Macaca fascicularis: one gene and its partners. The protein of the gene in region 2 interacts with the protein of the main gene of each other region in a biochemical or structural test. Links are inferred from orthologs where the notes say so. Each region holds a gene or a part of one and is shown on either strand. Other genes may lie near its edges.

What was found. The genes of interacting proteins can lie anywhere in the genome.
Region 1: the proteins of ELK1 (region 2) and SRF form a complex in vitro, tested with the Homo sapiens proteins (2 studies listed by BioGRID). The link is inferred for Macaca fascicularis from reciprocal best matches to the Homo sapiens genes ELK1 and SRF.
Region 3: of the proteins of ELK1 (region 2) and MAPK9, one has a biochemical effect on the other in vitro, tested with the Homo sapiens proteins (2 studies listed by BioGRID). The link is inferred for Macaca fascicularis from reciprocal best matches to the Homo sapiens genes ELK1 and MAPK9.

What each region holds. Positions count from the first base shown.
Region 1 is NC_088378.1:128,355,965-128,360,353, forward strand, and holds part of SRF (serum response factor), read right to left. Parts: intron 4,285-4,389; coding exon 4,018-4,284; intron 2,428-4,017; coding exon 2,166-2,427; intron 1,586-2,165; coding exon 1,466-1,585; intron 151-1,465; coding exon 1-150. UniProt on the Homo sapiens protein: SRF is a transcription factor that binds to the serum response element (SRE), a short sequence of dyad symmetry located 300 bp to the 5' of the site of transcription initiation of some genes (such as FOS).
Region 2 is NC_088395.1:47,747,973-47,752,961, forward strand, and holds the start of ELK1 (ETS domain-containing protein Elk-1), read right to left. Parts: upstream 3,154-4,989; 5' UTR 2,981-3,153; intron 1-2,980. Other genes in the region: protein UXT, read right to left, coding at 4,390-4,443, 4,629-4,692. UniProt on the Homo sapiens protein: Transcription factor that binds to purine-rich DNA sequences. Forms a ternary complex with SRF and the ETS and SRF motifs of the serum response element (SRE) on the promoter region of immediate early genes such as FOS and IER2.
Region 3 is NC_088380.1:187,169,338-187,173,726, forward strand, and holds part of MAPK9 (mitogen-activated protein kinase 9), read right to left. Parts: intron 3,423-4,389; coding exon 3,293-3,422; intron 1-3,292. UniProt on the Homo sapiens protein: Serine/threonine-protein kinase involved in various processes such as cell proliferation, differentiation, migration, transformation and programmed cell death.

The DNA.
Region 1 (4,389 bases), on a different chromosome or scaffold from region 2:
GTGCCTGGGAGAAGGCATTCAACACGGTGAGGCTGCCATCACCCAGGCCTGAGGTGGGGGCATACATCACCGCATGCGGGCTAGGGTACATCATGTGGCCACCCACAGTTGTGGGCACGGATGACGTCATGATGGTGGCGGGCAGCGTCACTGGCAAACACAGACATGTGTCAGCTCGGTACTGGTCCCTACTGATATCTCCCATTCCCTAGGAATTCCAGGCCCCCAGAGCCCTCTTGCCATTTCCCAGGTCAGAAGCTAGACACGACTATTCCTCCGCTCCATCATCAACTAAGAAAAGCCTATTTTTTCTTGAACACAACAGCATCAATCTTTAATTGTATCCTATCACATTGTACTATTCAACTGTCTATCTGCTGAATTCTCTAAGTCCCAAATCTTGGGAAAAACAAAGATTATGACTGACCTACTCTCAGAAAACTCAGATACTCCCCTTTTAGGGAACTCTAACATCTTATTTTTTATTTGTTTTCATTCTCCCTCCTTCTTAATGCACAGCTAACAAATTCATCTTTCAAACAACCACTTCTCAAATGTTAATGTGCATTATATGGGTATCTTGTTAAAACACAGACTCTGGGCTGGGCGCAGTGGATCACACCTGTAATCCCAACACTCTGAGAGGCCGAGGCAGGCGGATCATGAGGTCAGGAGATCGAGACCATCCTGGCTAACACAGTGAAACCCCGTCTCTACCAAAAATATAAACAAATTAGCTGGGCATGGTGGCAGGCGCCTTTAAGTCCCAGCTCTCGGAAGGCTGAGGCAGCAAAATGGCGTGAACCCGGGATGCAGAGCTTGTGGTGAGCCAAGATCGCGCCACTGCACTCCAGCCTGGGCGACAGAGTGAGACTCTGTCTCAAAAAAAAAATAAAAAAACACGGACTCTGATTCAGTAGGTTTGGGGTAAGACTCAATATTCTGTATTTCCAACAAGCTCCCAGGTAATGCTGGGTGTTCCCAGTCCATAGGCCACACTTTGAGTAATAAGGTTATAAATAATAAGAACTTAAAATTAACTTTATTTTCAGAGTATCTCATCATTTCTAAAATGTCTAGAGATACCTGAGGGTAACTGTGGCTACTCAAAACCTGTAAGACCCTCACACAAAGAGAAAATTGCTCTCTAAGTCCTTCTTGATAATTAAGCAAACGTGTCTTTGAGCAAGTAACTTCTTATTTCTAGGCCTCAGGCTCCTCATCTGAATGAGAAGGTAGCATCAATGGTCCCTAATTTTCTTCTGGAATCCACAGCCCACTGCAGGGCGGGATTCAAAACTCAGTCATCCTCACCTGACTTTCCCATAATTATTAGGCCAAAAGCCTCAATCTCCACTTTAAGAAATCCCTTGACTTTGGTTATAGGAGGGTTACTGTTGGGCACCTACTGCTAGGCCGCGTGGGGGAAGGCAGGGAGGGAGGGTGACAGGGCTGCGAGCTATACCTGTCCCGCTGGAGGAGGTCTGCGTGAGGTCTGTGCTGCTGTCACGGGAGGGAGACGCCTGCTGTGGGGCCTGGTGCACTTGAATGGCCTGCACTGGGACCTGCTGGGCCACTGCCCCACCTGCAAAATACAGAGTCTTATTTGTGCTCTGTCCCACCCAATTGCCACCTCCACCAAGTACCCATGGACACCCCAGTCCCAGGGTCTGGCACACTGGCCCCCAACTCCCATCACTATCTTTCCTGGAAGCCAAAGAGGCCCTTCATGCCCGAATCTCCCCTCTGGGGGCTTCCACACTCTGCTCTTGCCCATCCCTCCTCCTCCTGCCCTGGGCCTTGCCTCTCTTTTCTTCAGTTGACCCAAGAGCTGGCAATAACCCATCAAGGACATGATCTGCCTTCCAGTCAAGGCAGGAAGTGGTGAAACGTCTACTGCCCTGTGGCAATAGGGGCACAGGGCTGGGGTAGCTAGACAGGGCCAGAATATATGGTTGAAACTTACTGACAAGGACAGCAGGGGTCTCAGTGGGCAGAGGTATGCCTGCCAACGGGACATAAGAGGCTTCTCTCAGGCTCTGGCCCCTATTCACCTTCCTTCTGAGCAGGGAAAGAGGTTCTCTTGGTGCCAGCCCTAAACACACTCTTAGCATGCTTGATTTGCCCCAGAGAGGACGAATCTCTCCCTTCCCCTCGTGACTCACCAGGCATGAGGGTGAAGCTGGTAGGCAGCTGCATAAGGCCCCCAGAGGAGACAGGGCCGCTGCCTGTACTCTTCAGCACAGTCCCATTGGCACTGCTGACAGCACTGGGGCTGACACTAGCAGACACTGGTGCCAGGTAGTTGGTGATGGGAAAGGAGGGGCCGCTGCTGACTTGCATGGTGGTAGAGGTGCTAGGTGCTGTTTGGATGGTAGAGGTTGTACCCGGCAGGTTGGTGACTGTGAACGCCGGCTTCAGTGTGTCCTATACCCAGAGTAAAGATGAAGCAATGAGCCTCTACCAGACCCTGCCTTTGCAGAAGTTTTGTGTGGACTGAGAACCCAGACTGAAACCAGTGAGCTTGGGTTCAAATCCCAACGCCACATTTACCTGATGCCTCACTCTTGGGTAAGTTATTGATATACTCAGCTACAGTTTTCTATCAGTAAAAGGAGGATAATACCTACCTCTTAGGTTGCTGTAAGGATTAAGTAGGTTAGCATACGTAAATCACTTAGAAAACAGTACCTGGCACATAAAAAAATAAATAAATATTTGCTGCTCTTATGATGATGATTATCATTTTCATCATTATAATCCCCTGAGTCCTCTGCTCCAGTGGACTGTGGTAATCCCATTGGCTGGAGAGTCAGGACACCAAAGTCTGTTCCTAGCTCTGGTAATGACCATCTAAGTGACCCTGAAATAACCACTCCCCTTTTCTGAACCTCGGTTTTCTTCTTCTATAAGCATAAGGGGGCTGGGCTGCTATGTTTTCTTTAAGAGTTCTTCCAGTTCTAATTTGTCAGGCTTCTGAGATATGAACTGAGAGTTTCTCGGGGAACTTAGAGTTTGAGAGAGATCTTGAGGGTCTGGCAATGACACACTATATGTCAAACACCCAAGATGTAAACTACCAAAAGAATGTACTCATCCAACAAAATTTCCTGGGAATAAATGAGCCCTGCTGTTATAAAAGTTTAAAAATTATTACAGATGATATACCACTAAGAGAGCGGGGAGCCTACAGCACTGACTCTCTCCTCAGGAAGACTTCCTTCTTAGAAGGGGAAGGAGGAAACTGAGAACCAAGCCACCAAGCCCAGACCCGAACTGAGTCAACCAGAAGCTCAAAGGCTGGGGGGGTGGGTCAGCACGAGACGTTTGCTAAGCAGCTGGGCCCAAGACCCTTGATTGGCGGAGGCGTTGCTAAGGCAAACAGTACCGCTTCTTCCCATTGGCCAGTCAGTTAAGTGCCACCCGGAAGGTGGAGCTCCCCAGACAGCAAGGGAGGAAGCCCCACCCCCTCTCCTTACCGGGAAAAGGAAGGGGTAGGAGTAACAGCGCAGGCATCCCTAGCAGCAGGCAAATGCGTTCCCTAACTGCCCAGGCCCCCAACACCCTGAAGGGGCAGGCGGCTGGCTTGTAAGGTAGTCCCCGGTCCAGTCAACTAGCCCACCTGCTAAGAGTGCTGGGTTCTCAGGACCCCGGAACCGGAGTGCTCCCTTTCTACTCCCTGGCGACCAAGCCCGGAGGGCCGGGCTAAGCTACACCCCCGCCCCTAGCGGGGAGACAGCTGGCGGGAGGAATGCAAAGGCCCTGCCAGGCAGGCGGGCTGCGGGCGGGAGGCCGGCGTGGAGCCCGAGCCGGCCTTATATGGGCACGGAGGCCGCCCGCTTATCTAGGGGGCCGGTCTTCTATCAGGAAAGTGAGGATGGACACCTGTCCCCTAGGACAAGGGTCGTTAATCAGGCTCCACTCCACATCAGTGGGTACCTATCCACCTGCCCTGGGCCAGAAAGAGAGAGGGACCCCCCTCCCTTCCCTCCTCTCACATAGGCAACCCAAACACACCTTGGTCTCCCCACTGCTGTCAGACTCCGACACCTGGTAGGTGAGATCTGTCTCTTCAAAGCCAGTGGCACTCATTCTCTGGTCTGTTGTGGGGTCTGAGCGGGGTGGAGAGTCTGGAGAGTTGAGGCAGGTCTGAATCAGTGCCTTGCCGGTCTCACTGGTGATCATGGGCTGCAGTTTTCGTGTGGCAAAGGTATACACATGGCCTGTCTCACTGGCCACCAGCAACAGCACCTGTGTCCCTGTCAGCGTGGACAGCTCATAGGCCTGAGGGGTGAGGACGGAGATGGGCAGGTCAGCAAACTTTTTATCTCTACCTTCTTTGAGAAGTTGGAAAAAGAATTATATAGTGATGTCATTCCCCCATTCCCA
Region 2 (4,989 bases):
GGATTACAGGCGTGAGCCACCGCGCCCGGCCTCCCCAACTTTAATAAATGTCTGCTCCACAAGCACAGATATTTCGGCCTGTTTTGTTCCTTGCCATATTCCAGCACCTAGAAGAGTGCCTGGTACTCACGAGGGGCTCAGTAAAGGTTGGTTGCATGAACAGCCCCAACTAACTAGCTCTCATATCCCTTCTTCTTCCCCATCTGACCCCTATGCTGGTGTCTGAAATTATCTTTTTCCCATTTATTCATGGGATAAATTCTTATTGAGCATCTGCTGTTTACCTGGTACATTTTCAGTTGCTGGAGACATAGCAGTGAATGAGCAGACAAAAACTGAGTCCTCATGGGACTCACATTCTAATGTGGAGAGACAGACAACAAACAACCCACACAGTGTGTCAGACAGTGATAAAGGGCAATGGGACAAAGCAGGGACCTGGCTTGAGCCCTGCTGGGTGTGCAGCTTCAGATGGCCAGGGAGGGGTTGACTTTTTTTGTTTTTACAAGTAGCATTGTTAGGAACTTCTTCTTTATACATGTGCCTTCGTATAGTATATTCCAAGCACCATGGTGTGACAATCAATCTTTACTGAAATAACACTACCCAGGTACAACAAAATCAAATCACTCTTAGAAACATCTCTTATGCCTGTGCCTTTAGGAGAGTGTATTACACACGCCACAGTGGTTGTTTTTTGGTTTTTATTCAGAGACAGGGATCTCACTATGTTGCCCAGGCTGGCCTGGAACTCCTGGGTTCAAGTGATCCTCCCACCTCGGCCTCCAGAGTAGTTGGGACTATAGGTGCACACCCGTGCCCAGCTACACACCACAGTTTTGTGAACACATTCTTTCAATGCAACAACACAGTCCTTATTCACATATACAAGTAGCACTCTTAGAAACAGCTTTTATATTTGTAACTTTACAGAGCATATTACATACCTCAGTCTTGTGAACACATCCTTTTGAAAAGGAGGAAAATCCTTACTCATATATAAACTGGCATTCTTAGAAACATCTTTGATACATGTATCTTTTTATACTGCATTCCACACACCACAGTGTGGTAAACATCCTTTGGGGGTTGGTATTTGAACAGAGTGCTGAAAGGAACCATGCAGAGATCCGGGGGTGGTGTTCAAGGCACAAAGAACGGCCAATGCAAAGGCCCTGAGGCTGGCCCATGCCTGCTATGTTTGAGGAGCTGTGTGGTGGAGCCAGTGTGGTTGGAGCACAGTAAGGGGGTGGGAAGGTATAGGCGGTAATGCTAGAAAGGTTACTTGTTTCACCATTAATTCACAGGTAATATTTATTTACACTGGAGGGGATTCTAGTTCTGATCCCCCATTTCACAAATGAAGAAAAAGGTACAGAGAGGAAGTGGTTAAATCACACATCGAAGGTCACACAGCTGCTGGTATTGGGGGGTGGGTGGGTGCTGAGAGAAGGTGGGGAATGAAGACCACTCTGCAGGCAGAGGGAACAGCAAGAACAAAAGCTTGGAGGTGGGAACTAATTTGGTTTTTAAGGACTGAGGCCTCACGTGGGGTGGGATGCGGTCTAAGAGGGGAGCCTCAAAAATTATCCTGTGTCCTGAGTACTTCCTGGGCCACCTTTGAGTAAGGAATTTAACCTTCCTATGGCCCAGCTCGCTCACTACCTATCTCATGGGGTTGTGGTGAGGATTAAAGGAACTCATTCATATGAAACACTCTGCCTGATACACAGCAGGTGCTCAATAAACGCTAGCTCCTACTGGCATTACCATCATCACTGTTGCTAATGTATTCACTTATTGTAGTGAGGCAGAACGTCTTTGTGGTTACTAGTGTGATCAGGCTGACCCACTATTAAGAGGTGAGGGACAGGCAAGGCCATACACTGCTCCACAAGGAAAAGAGGATCAGCACGTTCTCTTCTGGGAAGGGGGAAAAAAAAGAAGGAAATTGAAAGTACACGGCCGACCTTCCCCCAATTACAAAGCACTGGACTCACGGGACGGTATGCGGGGGACTGTGCAAGCATACAGGGGTGTGGGGGAGGAAGGCCAATGAACAGATCCACTGCAAAGGGAAGGGGTGATGAGGCTCATCGCCTGAGGGGAAGGGGAGCAGAAAACCTTACAGACTCCTGCACCACAGTAAAGGGAGAGAAAAGCCATCACACAGACTGATTCAAAGCAGAGAGGGAAAAGGCTATGGACTGAGCTACTGAAAATAGGGAGATATAAAGCACTAAACTGACCCACTATTAAAAATAAGAGAGAACCCCAAGGGCTAGAGTGACAATCTACGAAAACGAGAGGGCAGATAGGGCAATGGACTGATAGCTAAAGGGACGTGAATCCAAACATGAAGACTGATCCACTATAAAATGGTGGTGGTGGTGGGGGCGGGGGGGAGGTGGTTCTGAAAAAAGCCATGGACTGATGCATTGGGGGACTGGAGGAGGCAGGAATACAAACTCAGGTAGACTCACTGTTAAAGAGGGATGCGGAGGGGTGCGGCGCCACGGATTGATTTCGCTACAATGTACAGGAGGGGTGGAATAAACAAGGCCACGAACGGGTCTTATGAAAGTTGAGGCTAGGAGAAATCCAAACACTCAGATACACCTACTATTAAGGGGGCTGAACACTGTCACAGGCTGGCTCCCTGTAAGTGGGGGTGGGTGGGGGGCGGGTGGGGGTAGGGGGAAAGCCTATGGACGAGTCCACCCTAAGTTGGCGTGGGGAAAAACATAAGCACGCAGACCGATCCATTACACAACGGGAGGGGGAGGTTAGGCCACGGTCAGATCCACTACAAGGGACGAAGGGCTTGAGCAATGCCACACGCAGGTCCACCAGCCGTGGTGGTGGCGGCGGGGAGTCGAACACCAGCAGGCCACCGGCCAAGCCACATCCTTTGCGCGGGGGCGGGAAGGATACGTGGGGTCACGGACGGGGCCCTCCACCCTCCAGGCCCAGAGCTCACCTGTGTGTAGCGTGGCGGTGGCGTTGGCAATGTTGGCAGCTCCGGGGGGCGGGGGCTCCATACGCGGCCCCACCGCCCCCCAGGCCTGGGTTCCGAGGCGGCGGTGGCGGTGGTGGTGGCGGTGGCGGCGGCGGCGGCGGCAGCACCTAGAAGCCGCCCCTGCGTTTCCCTACGGCTCACGTGGGCCCGGGGAGGAGGAGCCCAGTGTCCCGCCGCTCGCTGATTGGCCAAAGCGCTATTAATCGGCCGCAAGGCCTCGAGGGGTTGGGGGACGGGCCCTTCCCCACAGAGCTGTGCCGTGATTGGCCTAAGGGGAAATGATGGAACGCTCACGGCCCCTGGAGTCCCGAGGAGGCGCGTTCGGCCTTCCCGGTGCTCTACGCCGATTGGCTCAAGGACTGACGGACTGTGAGCAACTGACGAGGCTCGGGGCGTGTGTGTAGAGGGCGGGGGGCTGCCTCACACTGATTGGCTTACATGGGATTGATGGAAGACAGCCTCCAAGGACGGGGGTGGGTAGCCCTGTTTTTCTCTGATTGGCGGATGAGGGACTCCTAGACCCCTGCCAAAACACCAAGGGGGTGGTGCCGCACGCCACGCTGCTCAGCGGAAGCAGGACTTGTATAGAAATGGGCGTAGCAGTCGGCGGGAGTGGGTCGGGCTGGGCTCCGCGTAGGCGGGCAGGGCAATTCTTTGGTTAGAGAAGACCATAGAGCTGGGTAGAAGACGAATTTAGAACACAGCGGCGGTAGGAAGGCAGGATGGCTGTCAGGCACACGAAGGAGCATTGAGTGGCAGAAACGAAATGCCTTCAGAGGGCAGGGTTGAACTGTGGCCAGAGTTAAAAAGGGGAGGAACCTGGCTCTGCGTTGATTGGCGGAGGCTGGACTCAACCTAGAATAGGGGCCGGACTAGGGAGAGCGGGATCCAGCTCCGTGCCTATTAGAAGCTGGAACCACTTACAATAGCAGGGGCTAGGACAAGGTAGGGCTGAGATGGATTTAGGGTAACGATTGGGTGTGTGAAAGGGTAAACCTTAGGGCCCTTTGATTGTTGTGGGAATGAACAAACCTCCACCATGAATTGGCCCATTCTCTATGGCAATTCAATGGGTGGTGTCTAGGAAAAGGAATGGAAGGGTGAGGTGGGGGCCCAGGTTGCCAAAATGACAGGAGAGAGGGCAGTGCACAAGGTCAACTGGCAAATGCTGCCAGGCAACAGGCTGGAGGCAGGACTGTTGGGGCATTTTAGAGGTTCCACAGAAAGAGACTGGATCTCTGGGTCTCTCAGTAACTTTGTGCCCTAGGAACAGGCCCCCGTGGCAACCAGCAGGGTTTATGGGGAAAAAGAAGGGCCATGTGACTCAAAGGCATTCAGGCTCTTTAATGTCTGAGGATGGGGGGAAGAAGTCAATGGTGAGGCTTCTCTGGGAAATTCTGCAGGCCTTGTAGTTCTCTAAGCCCCTGAAAAAGAGGACAGAAGAGACTGAACAAAGATTGAGTCTGGGTTACGCCCCCAGGCTTGCTCTGACCTCCCTCCCTTGACTCCAGTTTAAAGGGAAAGATGGTCCTTCCCTTCTTTCGCTCTCCCCCTTCTTCAGGTCACCACCCTAAACACAGAGTCTGGTAGTGGGGTGAGCTGCTCTCACCTCTAGCAACATGTGGATATGGGCTTTGATATTCATGGAGTCCTTGGTGAGGCTGTTGCTGAGCCTAGAGAAAAGAAACAAAGGGCAAAATGGTCCCCACTTATGAGTATGAGGAGGACCCTTCCTTATCACTTCAAGATCTACTTGTATCTTGGATGATTTCCACCTGGCTCACTCCTATGCAGAAATGCCAAGCCACCATCTGGTTTTCACTGATTCAAAGATTATTAAATGCCTACTGTATGCCAGGCGATTTTAGGCACTGGGGAGATAGCAGCAAACACAACAAACAAAACTCCTGGCCTGATGGACTTCAAATTCTTGTAAAGAGAGACAGACAAGAAAACTGATGGAATAAAAA
Region 3 (4,389 bases), on a different chromosome or scaffold from region 2:
GTGAGTGAGTTCTCCTGAGATCTGATGGTTTTAAAAGGAGCACTTCCCACTTTGCTCCTTACTTTTCTCTCTCCTGCCGCCTTGTGAAGAAGGTGCCTGCCTCCCTTTCATCTTCCGCCTGATTGTAAGTTTCCTGAGGTCTCCCCAGCCATGTGCAACTGTGAGTTAATTAAACCTTTTCCTTTATAAGTTACACAGTCTCAGGTATTTCTTTACAGCAGTGCAGGAACGAACCAATACACCCCATGGTGTAAACAGCGAGTCCCACGGCTTAGGCACCAAACACATAACCTAAGTCATTCCAGATGACTGAGGGAAAGATGAATTATCCATTATATAGGATTGGGGTGATCGGTTAGCTAAGGACAAAAATAAAACTGCATCCATATTTCAATCTTTATACCAAGATAAACTCAAAATGGAACAAAGATTTAAATCTAAAACATGAAATAAAACATCAGAATATGATAAACATTTATATAATCCTGGTGTAGAAAAATCTTTTCTAAACCTGACAGGAAACCTAAGGGATCTGATTACATTAAAATGAAACAAAAAAACAGGCGATAAAAAATCAGTATGTCAACAACATAGTCAAATGGAAAAAAAGAAGTAAAGGGCAATAGTTTTAATATTAAAAAAAAAAAAAAAACCCTCCTTCAAATGCAGAAGAGACCAGCAGTCCAAAAGAAAAATGGATAAAGGCCATAAAAATTAAATTACCAAAACACATAAAAATAAATGACAACCTCACAAATAAAAATATCATTTATCTATCAAATTGGCAAAAGTAAAACAAAAAAAAATCAATGGTATGTAGTGCTGGGGGATTCTGAAGTAACAGACATTCTCAGATACTTTTTTTTTTTTTTTTGAGATGGAGTTTCACTCTTGTCGCCCAGGCTGGAGTGCAATGGTGTGATCTCGGCTCACTGCAACCTTCGCTTCCTGGGTTCAAGCGATTCTCCTGCCTCAGCCTCCCGATTAGCTGGGATTACAGGCACCCGCCACCATGCCCAGCTAAATTTTGTATTTTTAGTAGAGACAGGGTTTCACCACATTGGCCAAGCTGGTCTTAAACTCCTGACTCAGGTGATCCACCTGCCTTGGCCTCCCAGTGTTGGGATTACAGGCGTGCACCACAGCGCCCAGCTGACACTTTTTTTTTCAAGAGATGGGGTCTTGTTTTATTGCCCTGGTGTGCCTTGAACTCCTGGCTTCAAGCGACCCGCCTGCCTCAGCCCCATAAGTAGCTGGGATTACAGGTGGAAGGGACCATGCCCAGCTTCTCAGATACTCTTAATGAAAATATCAAACTAATAGTCTTCCTTGAGATCAATTTGTCAGTATATATTAAAGTAGAATATATATAAACCAGAAGTGTGTACTCTGACCCGGCAATGTTGGCCAAGAACTTCACCTGGACAAGTGTGCAAAAATTCAGGCGTAAGAATGTTCATTGCAACACTGCTTATAACAGTGAGAAACAAAACAATCTATCCAACAACAGGTGGTTGGCAGTCTCTTAAATTACTGTGCATCTGCGCTATTCAGTCATTTAAAAACTGGCTTATATCTATGTTAATTAAAGTACATGAGGTCAACCCACACTGCGTGAGGAGAAAAGCAGGATGAAGAATAACACGATTAATCTTGTTTATGTACTTGTGTACATGTATGTATAAGAATGCTCACCAAATTGTTAATGCTAGTACTCTGTGGGTGGTGGTAGTCAGGAGTTTTTACTTTTTTATATTGTTTGAATTTTTAAAAATAATATATATTTTTTGTAACCTGAAAATTTTTTTAAATAAACAAGTAAAATAAAGCATGCATTAGAGAAATTAAAACCAACTCAAGCCACAGACTCAAAAGAAGGAAGCTCAGGAGTTTAAGACTAGCCTAGGCAATGCGGTAAGACCCCAACTCTACAAAAAATTTAAAAAATTGTCAAGCATGGTGACACACGCCTATAGTCCCAGCTACTTGGGGGGCTGAGGTGGGAGAATCACAGCCTTGGTGACAGAATGAGATCCTGTCTAAAAAATCAACACAAAACAAATAAAAAAACTCCTTCCAGATTTAACATTATTTATTTATTTATTTATTTATTTATTTATTTTGAGATGGAGTCTCGCTCTGTCGCCCAAGCTGGAGTGCAGTGGTGCGATCTCTGCTCACTGCAAGCTCCTCCTCCCGGGTTCACACCATTCTCCACCTCAGCCTCTCGAGTAGCTGGACTACAGGCGCCCACCACCACGCCTGGCTAATTTTTTGTATTTTTAGTAGAGACAGGGTTTCACCGTGTTAGTCAGGATGGTCTCGATCTCCTGATTGTGGTGATCCACCCGCCTTGTCCTCCCAAAGTGCTGGGATTACAGGCGTGAGCCACCGCGCCCTGCCAACATTTTATAATTTTATAACTTGGCAAGGTTATCAACGTAATGCTCAGCAGCGACCACTAGGAGAACATACAATGTGCCTGATTGAGCACAACTTCATTTTCTAGAAACATTATTTCTCCATAAAATTTAGTGCTTTGATTTCTGTGGCGCTTCCAAGAATAGCTACTCTAAATGTGACATCATCTAATAAGTGTATTTGAAACTGAGATGTCATATACAAGGTAAAAAATTACTTATAGAACAACATCTTTCCACAAAATATTTAGTTGTTTCTCAATTTGTTGGATCAATACTGTTCCTATTTTACAGAAACAGTATCAACTGATATTCCTACTCTGGTTGAGTGACCTAAATTCCTATGAACCATAATGATGCCTCTTTTCAGCTTTAATTTCCTCAATGTTTATTAAGAATTTTATCAATAAAAAATAGGCCGGGCACAGCGGCTCACACCTGTAATCCCAGCACTTTGGGAGGCCAAGGCAGGTGGATCAAGAGGCCAGGAGATCGAGACCATCCTGGCTAACACGGTGAAACCCCGTCTCTACTGAAAATACAAAAAACTAGCCGGGCGTGGTGGCGGCGCCTGTAGTCCCAGCTACTCGGGAGGCTGAGGTGGAGAATGGCGTGAACCCGGGAGGCGGAGCTTGCAGTGAGCCGAGATCACGCCACTGACCTCCAGCCTGGGTGACGCAGCGAGATCCCATCTCAAAAAATAAATAAATAAATAAATAAATAAATAAAATAAAATAAAATAACAATGTTAATAGTCACTTTTATCCTTAGCTTATCCTAGATCTGAACTCAATGTATCTCCAGAAGACCCTGAAGATTCTCACATTATTGACAACATGGAAGCACACAGACAAAATACACACATAACTTACATTTTTATGATTGACACATTTTAAGAGGACGAGTTCACGATAAGCTCTCTTTGCATGAGTTTGGTTCTGAAAAGGACGGCTTAGTTTCTTGACTGCAACATTTATCCCAAGAACTGTATCAAATGCAGCACTAGAATTAGGAAATATAATGCACAATCCATTAGAACCGTTTTGGAAAACACAGCAATGCCAGAATATACATTGAATATATTATCTTTTTAATAAGTAACAAGGAAAAATCTGCTTATTTCCATTCAAGGTACCACACATATGAAGAGCACAGTGAGCTGGCTAAGACTACAGCATGGACTAACCCCTTTGCAGAGACATATTTCAGCGACAGTTAAGACGGGGTTCAGCAATCCTTCACGTACCGTTTTCACAGTTTAGACTACATTCAAAACCAGGTAATTTAACATAGAGTGCATAAAACCAGTCAAGAAATGAAATCTTCAGTTTAAACATGACAAGAAGTTGGAAACAAAGTCACTGTTATCCCATCTTAAAATGTGTATATTTTGGAATATCACAGTAGAGGAAATGGTTGAGTTGATGAGAAGAATACAATAAATCTAAAGTTTGAGTCATTGTGTTTTTTTCTTAGACAACAGTATCTAATAAGAAAAGAAGCCAAAATTTCAGCTCATGGTAAATGCCCAAGATACAAAATCTCTAACGTAAGCAACTGCTATATAAAGTTCTTTTAGAAATATCTCCTCCTACTACTATGGTAAGAATAAAATTTAAAGGCTGTGTTTCCAGATCTCAAGTTTCCTGTTGAAATTCTGTTCATTTTCCCCCAGAAAACAGATATGAAAAATCAAGTAGCCTGATGGCACATTTTTAGGTTTCTAACTGGTACTAAATAGTACCATTTCTGTTATGACCTCTGGGCTACCCATCAGGGCTAACAGTTACTAAAGGCCACCTGAGAACCTAAGCACTGATTTAAATATTGCTTCTATTTCTTTATTCTATTGAGTTTATAACATTGTTTACATTTATTCTCTTCTATTAATGCTTTTTGCCAAACAACTCGAACTTAATTCAACGTTTTAAAGTTAAAGGCTGTCTGCTGTAGCATTTGGTTAAGAAGC